Cricetulus griseus: one gene and its partners. The protein of the gene in region 1 purifies or fractionates together with the protein of each later gene. This does not show direct contact. Links are inferred from orthologs where the notes say so. Each region holds a gene or a part of one and is shown in the gene's direction. Other genes may lie near its edges.

Region 1 (4,184 bases):
ACACACACACAGATACACACACATACACATAATTTATATTTAAAAAGTTTTAAGCCAAAACCTGGAATAAAGGTCAAGTTTTCATATTCTTACCCATCCTGGGTCTCAGGCTCCCAAGTATCATTTGCATATTGTAAAACTAGAGAACCTGATAAATTGTGGCTCTAATGCTTGGCCAGTGAAACCCTATACATTATGGTATTGGCTTAAATCAAGTATCCATCAGTATTTTGTCAGGGTTGCATGAAAATCCTGTGCTGAAAATATATAGTCCATGTCCCAGGAGCTTCCAGAGTCTTGTCTGAAGGGGAAAAAAAAAAAGACTCGCTGTCTCTGAGTCTATAGCCAGCTGGCCCAAAGTGAATGTTTGGTAATATTATGAACATTAAATATGTGGAAATTTGACCTTTCATGATTTAAAAAAAGTTAATAGAATACAACATGTTAAAAAGTATAAGTAGTGGGGGCTGGGGACCATTGGCTGTTCTTCCAGAGGTCTTGAGTTCAATTTTCAGCAACCACATGGTGACTCACAACCATCTGTCAAGATCTGGTGCCCTCTTCTGGCTTGCAGTCAGAACGCTGTATACATAATAAATAAATCTTTAAAAAAATTTAAGTAACAAAATAAAACTGGTGTTAAAGGCTGGGTTTTAATGATCACGACTGTAATTCCAACACTCAGGAGATCTGAATTTGAGACTAGCCTAGGGAGAGTATATATTAAAAAAAAAAAAAAAAAAGGCTGCAGAGTATGAGGAGTGAGATGGTTCACAGGTACTAGCTGCCATGTTTAGTCTGTGAGACCTACATAATGAGGATTGCTGCATGTTGTGATTTTTGACCTCTGTATTCACCATGACACACACACACTAAAGAGAATTAAAACATGTCTTATAAGGATAAGTCAAAGAAGAAATCACCGTCATTGAATGCCCATTACTGAACAATTTGCATGTCATCTTAATACTCTCAAAGCGTTATGGATAGTGTCCCCCTTTACCACTGAGGGAAACAGATGCAGAAAAAGCACTGTCCCCATTTGCCAAGTAGAACTGCCCTGGACATAGATGGAGTTCATTCGCTGCCTTAAGAGAGCACAAGTCCAGACCCTTGCCTCCTCTGGGCTACCCACAGGTGGCTCGTGGAGCAGGGAGACATCAAAAAGTCAAGGAGGCTGTTACTCTCAGGGCTACGTCCCCAGGACTAAAGGCTAAGACCCTGCTACCAGCCTGGGCTTGAGTTTGTGTAACTTGATCCAAGTCTTTCCCTGGCCAGAGACCCAGTTTCCGGATGTGAAGACTTCTAGGCCCCGCCGCAGAGTGAACTGAGGCCTTTCAGGGGCGTGGCCTGGAGGGCGGGGCCTCGGGGCTGTGCTCCAGAGCCGCCGCCCCGCGGGCCGGCCAGCGGGTCACGTGACGGGTCGGCGGCGCCGGCGGTTGCTGTCACCTGATTCTGGGAGCTGGTGGCAGCGGTAGCTGCGGCAATGGACTTTCTCCTGGGAAACCCGTTCAGCTCTCCGGTGGGACAACGCATCGGTGAGTCCCGGGAGCCGCGCGCAGCCGCGCCCCTGTCTAGCTCTGGCCGGGGACCTGTCGGAGTCCTTGGAGGAGGGAGGCAGACGGCGAGGCTGGCGCGGCGCTCTTGGCTCCGCCCCACCTGTGTTTCACCTGATTGACAAGATTGCGGACCAGTCAGAAGCCTCGTGTGGGGATTGATGCTGAGGGTGACCAATAGGCAGGGAGAGGAGGCGGATGTGGCTCAGCCAATGCGCGCGTGCTGGGGTCCGGAGTAGAAGGAGAAAGTTTAGGTTAAAGGGACTGCTGTGGTGAGCCGGTGTGGGGCCCCGCCGCCGCCAGGCTCGGGCAGGCCGAAGGTCCCTCCCGGGTTGGCCGCGCTCAGGTCATTCGCCGCGTCACCGGCCCCTCACATTCCGGGACTCCTGAGGTGTCTGGGCTCGGCCACGCCTCTGTCCCCGCTGTCGGGAGACTCGGGTTTGTGTGACGTCGCCTCGACCGTAGTTAAGGGACGGTGGCCCGGCCTTCCTGGGGTTGTTTGATCATTACATGCATTATTAAGCGCAAGGCACTGAGGATGCTGCCTGACACATGGCTAATGCTTGTCATTGTCACTGTGGTACCACCTTGTGGGGCTGGAGCCCGTGGGAAAGTGCCGGTTCCCAGTACCTACTCAGGTGGCGACATTTCTCCAGGGATGGGTGGTCTGGGTGTGACCCCTCTTCTTGTCTGAAGGGTCCCGACAGCATTGTGTAATTCTTTTTGGTGGCTTTTCTCCTTGGATCCAGACTGAACAGGCTGGATCTTTTAGTTAAGGCATTCTTTGCATTCTTCCTGCCAAGGCTTCCCCGAAGTCGTTAGCCCAGCTTTGTGTTGTAACCGCCACTGCTGTAAGTTTGGAGGTTCTCATCAGTTCTCTGCAGGGCATTGCTAGTGCCTGAAACCCAGGTGCTTCGCAAAAGCCCCATCTTTGAGTCCTCGTTTGTGACCTGGAAAGAGAAGACAACCCTCTTCACAAACTTCCTATGTAAAAACAAGCTAATTATTCCATTCTTCAAAGCCAACCACAAAGTCCTGAGACTTTCTGGATGTGCTTATTTAGGCTCAGTGTGCATATCAGTTGTTCAGAACTCAACACCTCTTCCTACCCTGAAAGGTTGCCTTCCTTGGGCAAGAAATACTTCTGGACAGACAGAATGGTGCTATATCAATACCTCAGTGCTAACTACATCTCACAACTGGACCCTCTGCCTTTTTTATGTCAGAATTGGCTGGACCCATCAGATTCAGACTGGCATCTGTGGAGTTCCCAGTAATGCTCTTTGCAATTGGCTAGGAGACCACAAATTTTACAGGTGTGAGCCACCAGAAGCGGTGGCTCACACCTGTAATCCTAGCACTTGGTAGACTAAGACAGGAGGATTGCCACCAAGTCTCAGGCTACCTGGACTACAAAATGAGTTTCAGGGCAGCATGGAGCTGCAGAATAAGACCCTGATTCAAAACAAAAAATACCAGTCTGCAAAGTCCTGTTACTGAAGGGAGGGGATTGAGTTCTACAAAGGGAAGGTGGTGAAGACTGAGACTCACCCAAAAACCCAGTGAATTGATAGCACAACTGAAATGAGCCTTCCAGGGCTACTAAAGAGGCTGTAAAAGAGCCCAGTGTGGTGGAGCATGCCTATAATTCCAGCCCTCAGGAGGCTGAAGTGGGACTATTTTCAGTTCAAGTCCAGCCTGGACTACATAGAGAGCCCTACCTTGAACAATATCAGTGTTCCATAGTCTTCCATGTATAGAGAGACAGAAGTACTGGAGATTGAAAGGGGTATGTATCTGTCTGTCTGAGATAGAGTCTCAGTTGTTGCCCAGGTTGGCCTGGAACTTATGGACCCAAGCAGTCCTCCCTGATCAGCTTCCAAGTATCAGAGACCTTGTCCCTATGCCAATGGGCCTGGCTGGCTGTGATGATCGATGGCCAGGTTTTAGGTGCTTGCATTCCTGTAATTCAGACCCTCCCCCCTCCCTTTGCTACAGGAGTAAAATGGTGTCTTCTCAGGTCTGGCTTCATGCCCTGAGAGTAGAATCTTGTATGATTGGCATACTAGAGAACAGCAATCACTAAATGGTGCTAATCAGGGCCCAGTGTCACTGTCCTCACAATTCATATACACCTGATGCTTGCTGGTCTCACTGCCTACAATGTCTGCTTCTGGGAGGAGCTGGGCTCATCCCTTAGAGCACTGGGCACCATCACCTCTTCCCTGCGGCCTTTCCTAACTCCAGCTCCAATTGCTGCTCTTTTGTTCTCTTGTCACTCTGCTTCCAGTAGGCACAAAACAGCTCTCACCTCAAGGGAAATCAGAGATAGTTTATCCCTGAGCCAAATATGAATTGCTGTGACCCAGGAACACAGATTCCTATCACCCCAAATAACATGATCCAGTATGGGAAATGGTTTCATGATGTTTTCGTAGCTACAGAAAACAAAAGTAAGCCAGAAATCAGGCAATTGGGATACAGCAAAGCACGAATATCTATGCTGCACTTCTCAGGTGCTAGCTGATGGCATTCCTAGCCCTTGGGTTGGTGGACACTAGTTTTCTATTAACTTATTCCAAAAGTGTTGCCTGATAGTCACAGACTTGTTAGATCACAACTCGGAGA
Region 2 (3,517 bases), on another chromosome or scaffold:
CAGAACACCTGGGCATCTCTCGTTCCACTTGATATAGGCAGTCAAGATTAACTAACATGCTTATTTAAGTTAAAGCACATTAAATAATTTATTTATGATTATGGTGGTTAGAAAAATGAATCATATAATAAAGAAAGGTTTCAGTTTATTAGGCTTTGATCTTCTATCCCCTGCTTCTAATAAATATATTTGAGACAAAAACAAATGTAGTGTTTTATTCTTTATAGGTATTTTGTGGTGTCTGTTGTAACAGGAAATGTAAGCTTCAGTATCTAGAAAAGGAAGCAAGAGTATGTGTAGTCTGCTATGAGACTATTAATAAAGGTGAGTATTAACCTGACATGTTTTCTTCCACTAAATGAATATATATTAAGAAAAACTGGATTGTGACAAAGATAAACTTCTTTATTTTCTTAAGGCAAGGACCTAGTGTTGACTTATCTGGCTTAGGTGGGACATCCCAAGGCTTGGTTTCTCTTTTTGTTCTACTCTCACAATTAACACTACCAGTCTGGAAAGAAAGCGTTCAGGTTCTGGAGTAGCAGTTCATTACCTTTTAACAGGTACTAAGTTCCTAAGTGCTGCATTTCATCCCCCTACTGTTTCATCATCATTGTCATCCTCATCATCTTAATAGAAACATTCATACAAGTAGCTACTTACTGGTTCTCAATATTATATATTAATGTTAAAGGCAAGGTAGTAGTTCTTATCGTTTAGATAGTTGCCTGAAATGAGAATGAGAGATAAGGTATTATATATGATTTTAAAAACTCATAGGACCACCATGCTGTTTGCACATTTTGGTCTCATCTTTTTCCATTTTCATTTTTAGAATGTTATGTGTGTGTTCCCATTGTTTCTTGGCTCTCTAGCTAGTTTCCATTTTTAGCAGTGGTTTTCTTTGAGTTCCCACAGGTTTTTTTGTTTTTGTTTTTGTTTGGTGTGTATGTGTGTGTGATGCTGTGCTTTCACCCCTAGATACATATCTGTTCTTTTGAGTAGTTCTTGCATTTTCAAAAATTTGCTGACCATTTAATTCCCAACGAAAATTACTTGACCCTTTTTTGGCCAGGCCTATGAACTAGCTCCTATTAGCCAGGAGAATAAATACCTGATAATAATTTGTTTTTCTCTTTTGAATGAAGATAAATTTTTTCAGCAATTCTCCAAAAAGCTCTGATGTGAGTCTGTTAGCCTGAGGTAAGCTGTTCTACTCCCTGCTGTTGACCTATACTCTGGAAGATAATAAAATATAATTTTTAAAAATATTTTTTATGTTATCACCATTGTTTATTAAGAAGCTACCTGCTTATAATTGTTTTTCTTCTTGCAGTGTATCTGTAGCCTAGAAGACAGCTGCCAAGGTTATTAGCCCAAACAGTTTGCCAAAATTCAAATTTTAGGGAAAGTTCTTACTTAAAAAGCCATGAAAATTTGAGTTAACAGGTCATTCTGACTATACAGTCCAAGAGAGAAAAAGATATGCTTATTAAAGAGACTTAATAGAATACTGAGATAAAATTATGGTCTATCGTCAATGATATAATGTAGAGGAATAGAAATGTAGCTCAATGTTAGAGTGCTTGTCTAGCATGTACAAGAGCACGAGTTTAATACCCATTAACACACACACACACACACACACACACACACACACACACACACACACGGAATGAATTATTTAGATACTTGTTTTCTATAATTATTTAGATACTTGTTTTCTATTTCAATATCTTATGTAGTTTTTATTTGAGTTTTTAATATTTTATTTATGAGCTATTAGTGGTAATATATTACAATAAAATGTCAACTATAGACTAGAAAATGATGGAAGTGATCATTTAAGCAATGCTATCAGATGTGAAAAAGATGATTCAAAGGTTGTGTGATGAAGTCAGTGAAGGAATGAAAGAAAAATTGAGTAGAAATTGTGGACAGTGAGAAAGTTGCTGAGATTGTGTGAGTTTTATCGGCATGTGAATGATTCTGATAGACTTGGAATCTAGAATGTGGATTTTACTGGTTAGTAGAAACAGTTTCCAAGAGTGCTGTCATGTAGTGATATTAAGGAAGATTGTAGCTGTGATAGCACTTACGGTCTTTCAGTTTAGAGAAGTGCTGAAGGTGTTGTTGCCAGTACTGCTCTTTTTTATTGAAAGATCATTCAGTGATATTCAGACACTATTCTGTATTCTGGAGTTCCAGCTGAGAACAAAATAGATGTTCTGTTGATGTGGGATTGTTGAATGTGGAGATAAGGGGATAATAAACAGATGGTAATAATACCCTAAACTTAAAATGTACAAAGATAGAAACAGATTAGTGGCCATAATAATGCTTTATGATAATATGATGTGTGACTAGGGACTTGAAAGAAACAGACTGGATCTATGTGAGAACCTGTAGAAGAACACTCTAGGCAGAGGGAGAATAGATAGCCCAAGCTGTACTTGCTGAACTTGAAGAACAAGGAGGCACAGGTCGCTGGTTCCTGGTAAGTCCTTGGGTTGTACTGAGAGATGAGACTAGGGATATAGAACCCATAGGACCTGTCATTCGAAAGACAACCTAAGTTTTACTCAACTAGAAAACCATAAAGGATTTAAACGGAGTGTTAAGGAAATAATTATTTAGGTCTTAAAGAATCACTCTGGAGCATGTTGCTAGTAGATTCTAGGAGTAAAAGGGCAAAAACAGAGATATTCATACTCAATAAGGATGATTTTTCTGTAGTAGATATCAAGCATATACCAATTAAAAATATTGAAATAACTTGTCTATAACTTACCAAAGTGGAGTGCTGCCAGCTAAAGAAAGGAGCCTGTACATCTTTGTCAAGTACCACTTTCTCTTGATTGGCCATTTATTTCTTTCTCCTTACAACTTGAAAATCAAATTATTATAGCTTTCTTGAAAGTTTAAAAACATGAGTTTTTAATACTATTCTTTCCCCCTTTATAGCTCAGGCATTTGAAAGGATGATGAATCCCAGTGGTTCTTGTCTTAAGTCTAATCATTCTAAAGATTGTGCCACCACCCAGCCACTTCAGGAGACCCACACATCCAGTATACCTTCACCTACAGCTTTGCCCATCTCAGCACTGAAACAACCAAATGTTGAAGGTAACCAGAGTAAACTGCTGTGGTTTACACGTAGGATTAGTTATTCAGATAGAAATGCTCTGGCAGTCAGAGCCTAGACAGGAAAGAGAAACCCATTAAGGTCAAGAGGGATGTATACAGGGAATTGGTTAAACATGTATGTTGGAGACTGAAGACCCGCTCAGGAGTCTCATAGACAAATAACTGCAGAAAGCTGCCGCCACCACTAGGACTGGGGGATGAAAAGGGAGAAAGCAATAGTAGCACTTAGAGAAGAATACTTGGTGGTGCTTAGCTCTCAGATATGGGGGTTAGGGGCTAAAGCACCATATGTCTGAAGCTGTGCTCTCTGGGAAAATCAGTATGACAAATACTGGAAGCATCAAGGGAGTTTCTTAGGGCTAGTGCTCAG
Region 3 (3,517 bases), on another chromosome or scaffold:
CACAGTAATAGTACCTAATAGCACACACAATGCTCAAATCAATCATAGTGAATCTAACTAAAGTACCACAGTACACAAGTTTTTATACCTATATGATAATTGCAATCTCAAATTTAAAGTGCTAGTTATTGCTCATTATTATAATGATTCTTAAATTCCTCTGATAGACAAAGAGGTACAGCACTCTGAAGAATAGATTACTACCTCTGAGTTTTTCACTAACCCGGGGAAGCATTTCCAAGGCACATTCTCAAGTAGATAGAAAGCTTCCTGCAGTCATCATGGCGTCTGGGCATATGAAAGTAGCTAAAACCAGGGTTGTTCAATTTATAATCTATATCTAGGGATTTGAAAATAGGAAGCCATTAAAATAATAGTGGTAAGTGTTGTTATGGACAGTGTTTTATGAGGAGAAAGTAAAAATTACATAATTGCTCATGTTAATGTAATTATTAATGTGTGTTCATGTTTGTGTACAAAGATCGTTGTGAAGTTATAGGTAGTTTTTCTTCTATTTAAGGTTTTCTAATAAGTTATTTAACCTATTCTTAATAGGCCATGTCTTTTTAAAAATACTTTGATTTTTCATAACCATTCCCTGTATATCATCTGTAGGTTGTACAGACAGCCTTGTCTGAAACTCAGGACCCAGAAGAGGTGTCAGTAACTGTGAAGGCTTTTATGACAGCAGATCTTCCTAATGAACTCATTGAACTGCTGGAGAAAATTGTCCTTGATAACTCTGTATTCAGTGAACACAGGTACGCTGGCAGAGGATTGCACCAGCTTTCTGCTGTCTTTGATTGCAGCCAGTCAGTTTGGGGAGGCAGTTTTCTGAATTGTTACTCCTTGATACTCTGACCTCTTCCTACGCTTTCCCCTGAGACAGATCACCCTCCAGTGCCGTAGTGTTTATTCCTTATCACTGATGGGCTTTATGAACTTTGTGGTTCAATGTCTTGGTTTCTAAAGGAATCTGCAAAACCTCCTCATCCTCACTGCAATTAAGGCTGACCGAACACGTGTTATGGAGTATATTAACCGCCTGGATAATTATGATGCTCCAGATATTGCCAATATTGCCATCAGCAATGAGCTGTTTGAAGAAGCATTTGCTATTTTCCGGAAGTTTGATGTCAATACTTCAGCTGTTCAGGTAATCTTGAAATTAGATAAATTGAGATAATGACTTTGTGTAAAGAATGCATTGCCTTATGATGGCATGCACAGATTGCTGTCACAATAGAATAATCACAAAAATGCTATAGGTAATAATGAATAAGATCCATTTTACTGTAACACCAATTCAAAAATGTTGCCCAGGTCTTAATTGAACATATTGGAAACTTGGATCGTGCATATGAGTTTGCTGAACGCTGCAATGAACCTGCTGTTTGGAGTCAACTTGCAAAAGCTCAGTTGCAGAAAGGAATGGTGAAGGAAGCCATTGATTCATACATCAAAGCAGATGATCCTTCATCCTACATGGAAGTTGTTCAGGCTGCCAATACTAGTGGTATGACTTCTAATCTTTATGCCTTTGAGATCTTAGAAAATTGCTAAGCCAAGCATTTGGATATCTTAACGTTTAATTGTGTGAAAGTTAGATGCTTCTTTATTACTTATGAAAGCTTTTAGCCCAGCATGTTGACCCAGCTAAAGTCTGACTGCATTGTGTGAATTTAGAAGGTCCCCAGAGGTTAATTTTGTATTGAAGTCTAATAAAATCCTGATAGAACTCTGATATGTAACTTTAAAGGAAGCATGTAGGGAAGGTATCAAATATTCTTTGGGTCAATAATACAGAAGTATAGTGGAATTTTTATACTTTCAGGTATATTCATTTTTATGTGTTATTCTATGTGATGTTTCTTTGTAAAGGGAGTTAAGTTGCTGAAGTGATGTACACTTGCCATCCTAGCACTTGGGAAGTTGAGGCAGGAGGCCTTAGGTTCATGGACAGCCTGGGCATCATAATAATCATTGTGTGTGTGTTTGTGGAATGCTTGTGTGTAGGTACATGAAAGGCCAGAGGACAGGCTCTGTTTTCCCCCTTAAGGCACTATCCACTTAAAAAAAAAAAAAAAAAAAAAAAAGGTCTCTTGTTGGTCTGGGTATCACTAAGCAATTTGGGCCAGCAAGCATAAGCATATAGCAAAATCCACAAGCATAAGCATATAGCAAAATCCACTCTCAAAAAAATAAATTAATAATAATTGTAGTTGACGGTGGCGGGGGGCGGGGGGGCGCCGACACACTAATAGCAGATCTTATATATTTGGTTGAGATATAAAATAAGGATGCTAATCTATGGGCTTATTTGTCTCTTTATTTAGGAAACTGGGAAGAACTGGTGAAGTATTTGCAAATGGCCCGAAAGAAGGCTCGAGAATCCTATGTTGAAACAGAATTGATATTTGCGCTGGCTAAAACAAATCGCCTTGCAGAATTAGAAGAGTTCATCAATGGGCCAAATAATGCTCATATTCAGCAAGTGGGTTTCCTGTTTAAATATGTGTGTATGTTTAGTGGGATGCTTGTATATAGGTGCATGCAGAGGCCAGAGGCCAAGCTCTGTTTTTACCACTCAGGCACTATCTGCTTAAAAAACACAGACAGGGTTTATTGTTGGCCTGGGTGTCAAAAGGTAATTTAGGCCAGCTGGCCAGCATGTATAAAGGATTGGTTTGTCACTGCATCAGTGCATACTATCATACTTGGCTTTTTATGTGGGTGGTGGGTATTGAACTGGGTCCTAATGTTTGCAAGTACCTTTCAACTGAATTATCTCACTGGCTCCACATTTTAAACATATGTCAAACTCAAGGAGTAAGCAATTTTATCATTTTGGAAGAATCAACACATTAGTGCTAAGAAATTAAATTATCCTTAGAGGCAGAGTGTGTGTGTGTGTTCATTCATTTTGTTTGTAATTTTGGAGATGGAATCTCTCAGGTGGCCTTGAACTTGGGGTGCTCCTGACTCAACTTCTTGGGTACTGGATTACAGCATATGCAATGTCCCTATCTATTCCTCAGTGTAAAAATATTAACTTGAAAAAGGGATTGAACTGAGACCTCTATTTTACTGATCATGGATTACCTTTTCCCCACTAGGTTGGTGACCGTTGTTATGATGAAAAAATGTATGATGCTGCTAAGCTGTTGTACAATAATGTTTCTAACTTTGGACGCTTGGCATCTACCCTTGTTCACCTTGGTGAATATCAGGCAGCAGTTGATGGTGCTAGAAAAGCTAATAGTACTCGAACATGGAAGGAGGTAATCTAAATCCAAGTTTGAATGATGACTTAAGATTCTGTTTGAAAATTCTGTTTGTACTGTTGAGTTGAAATAACTGTCTGCATTTATATTTGGATTCTCATAGTGGAAAATTATATTCTAGGTCTGCTTTGCCTGTGTAGATGGGAAAGAATTCCGTCTTGCTCAGATGTGTGGACTTCATATTGTAGTACATGCAGATGAATTAGAGGAACTTATCAACTACTATCAGGTAA

What was found. The genes of interacting proteins can lie anywhere in the genome.
Region 2: the proteins of Tom1 (region 1) and Zfyve16 purify together in Homo sapiens (affinity purification with western blotting; 3 studies listed by BioGRID and IntAct, with this or other methods). This does not show direct contact. The link is inferred for Cricetulus griseus from reciprocal best matches to the Homo sapiens genes TOM1 and ZFYVE16.
Region 3: the proteins of Tom1 (region 1) and Cltc purify together in Homo sapiens (affinity purification with western blotting, with the first as the bait; 3 studies listed by BioGRID). This does not show direct contact. The link is inferred for Cricetulus griseus from reciprocal best matches to the Homo sapiens genes TOM1 and CLTC.

What each region holds. Positions count from the first base shown.
Region 1 is NC_048596.1:150,806,884-150,811,067, forward strand, and holds the start of Tom1 (target of Myb protein 1), read left to right. Parts: upstream 1-1,380; 5' UTR 1,381-1,486; coding exon 1,487-1,538; intron 1,539-4,184.
Region 2 is NC_048595.1:311,272,450-311,275,966, reverse strand, and holds part of Zfyve16 (zinc finger FYVE domain-containing protein 16), read left to right. Parts: intron 1-227; coding exon 228-324; intron 325-2,964; coding exon 2,965-3,126; intron 3,127-3,517.
Region 3 is NC_048600.1:99,946,021-99,949,537, reverse strand, and holds part of Cltc (clathrin heavy chain 1), read left to right. Parts: intron 1-615; coding exon 616-761; intron 762-972; coding exon 973-1,156; intron 1,157-1,323; coding exon 1,324-1,516; intron 1,517-2,336; coding exon 2,337-2,494; intron 2,495-3,116; coding exon 3,117-3,281; intron 3,282-3,405; coding exon 3,406-3,513; intron 3,514-3,517. UniProt on the Homo sapiens protein: Clathrin is the major protein of the polyhedral coat of coated pits and vesicles. Two different adapter protein complexes link the clathrin lattice either to the plasma membrane or to the trans-Golgi network.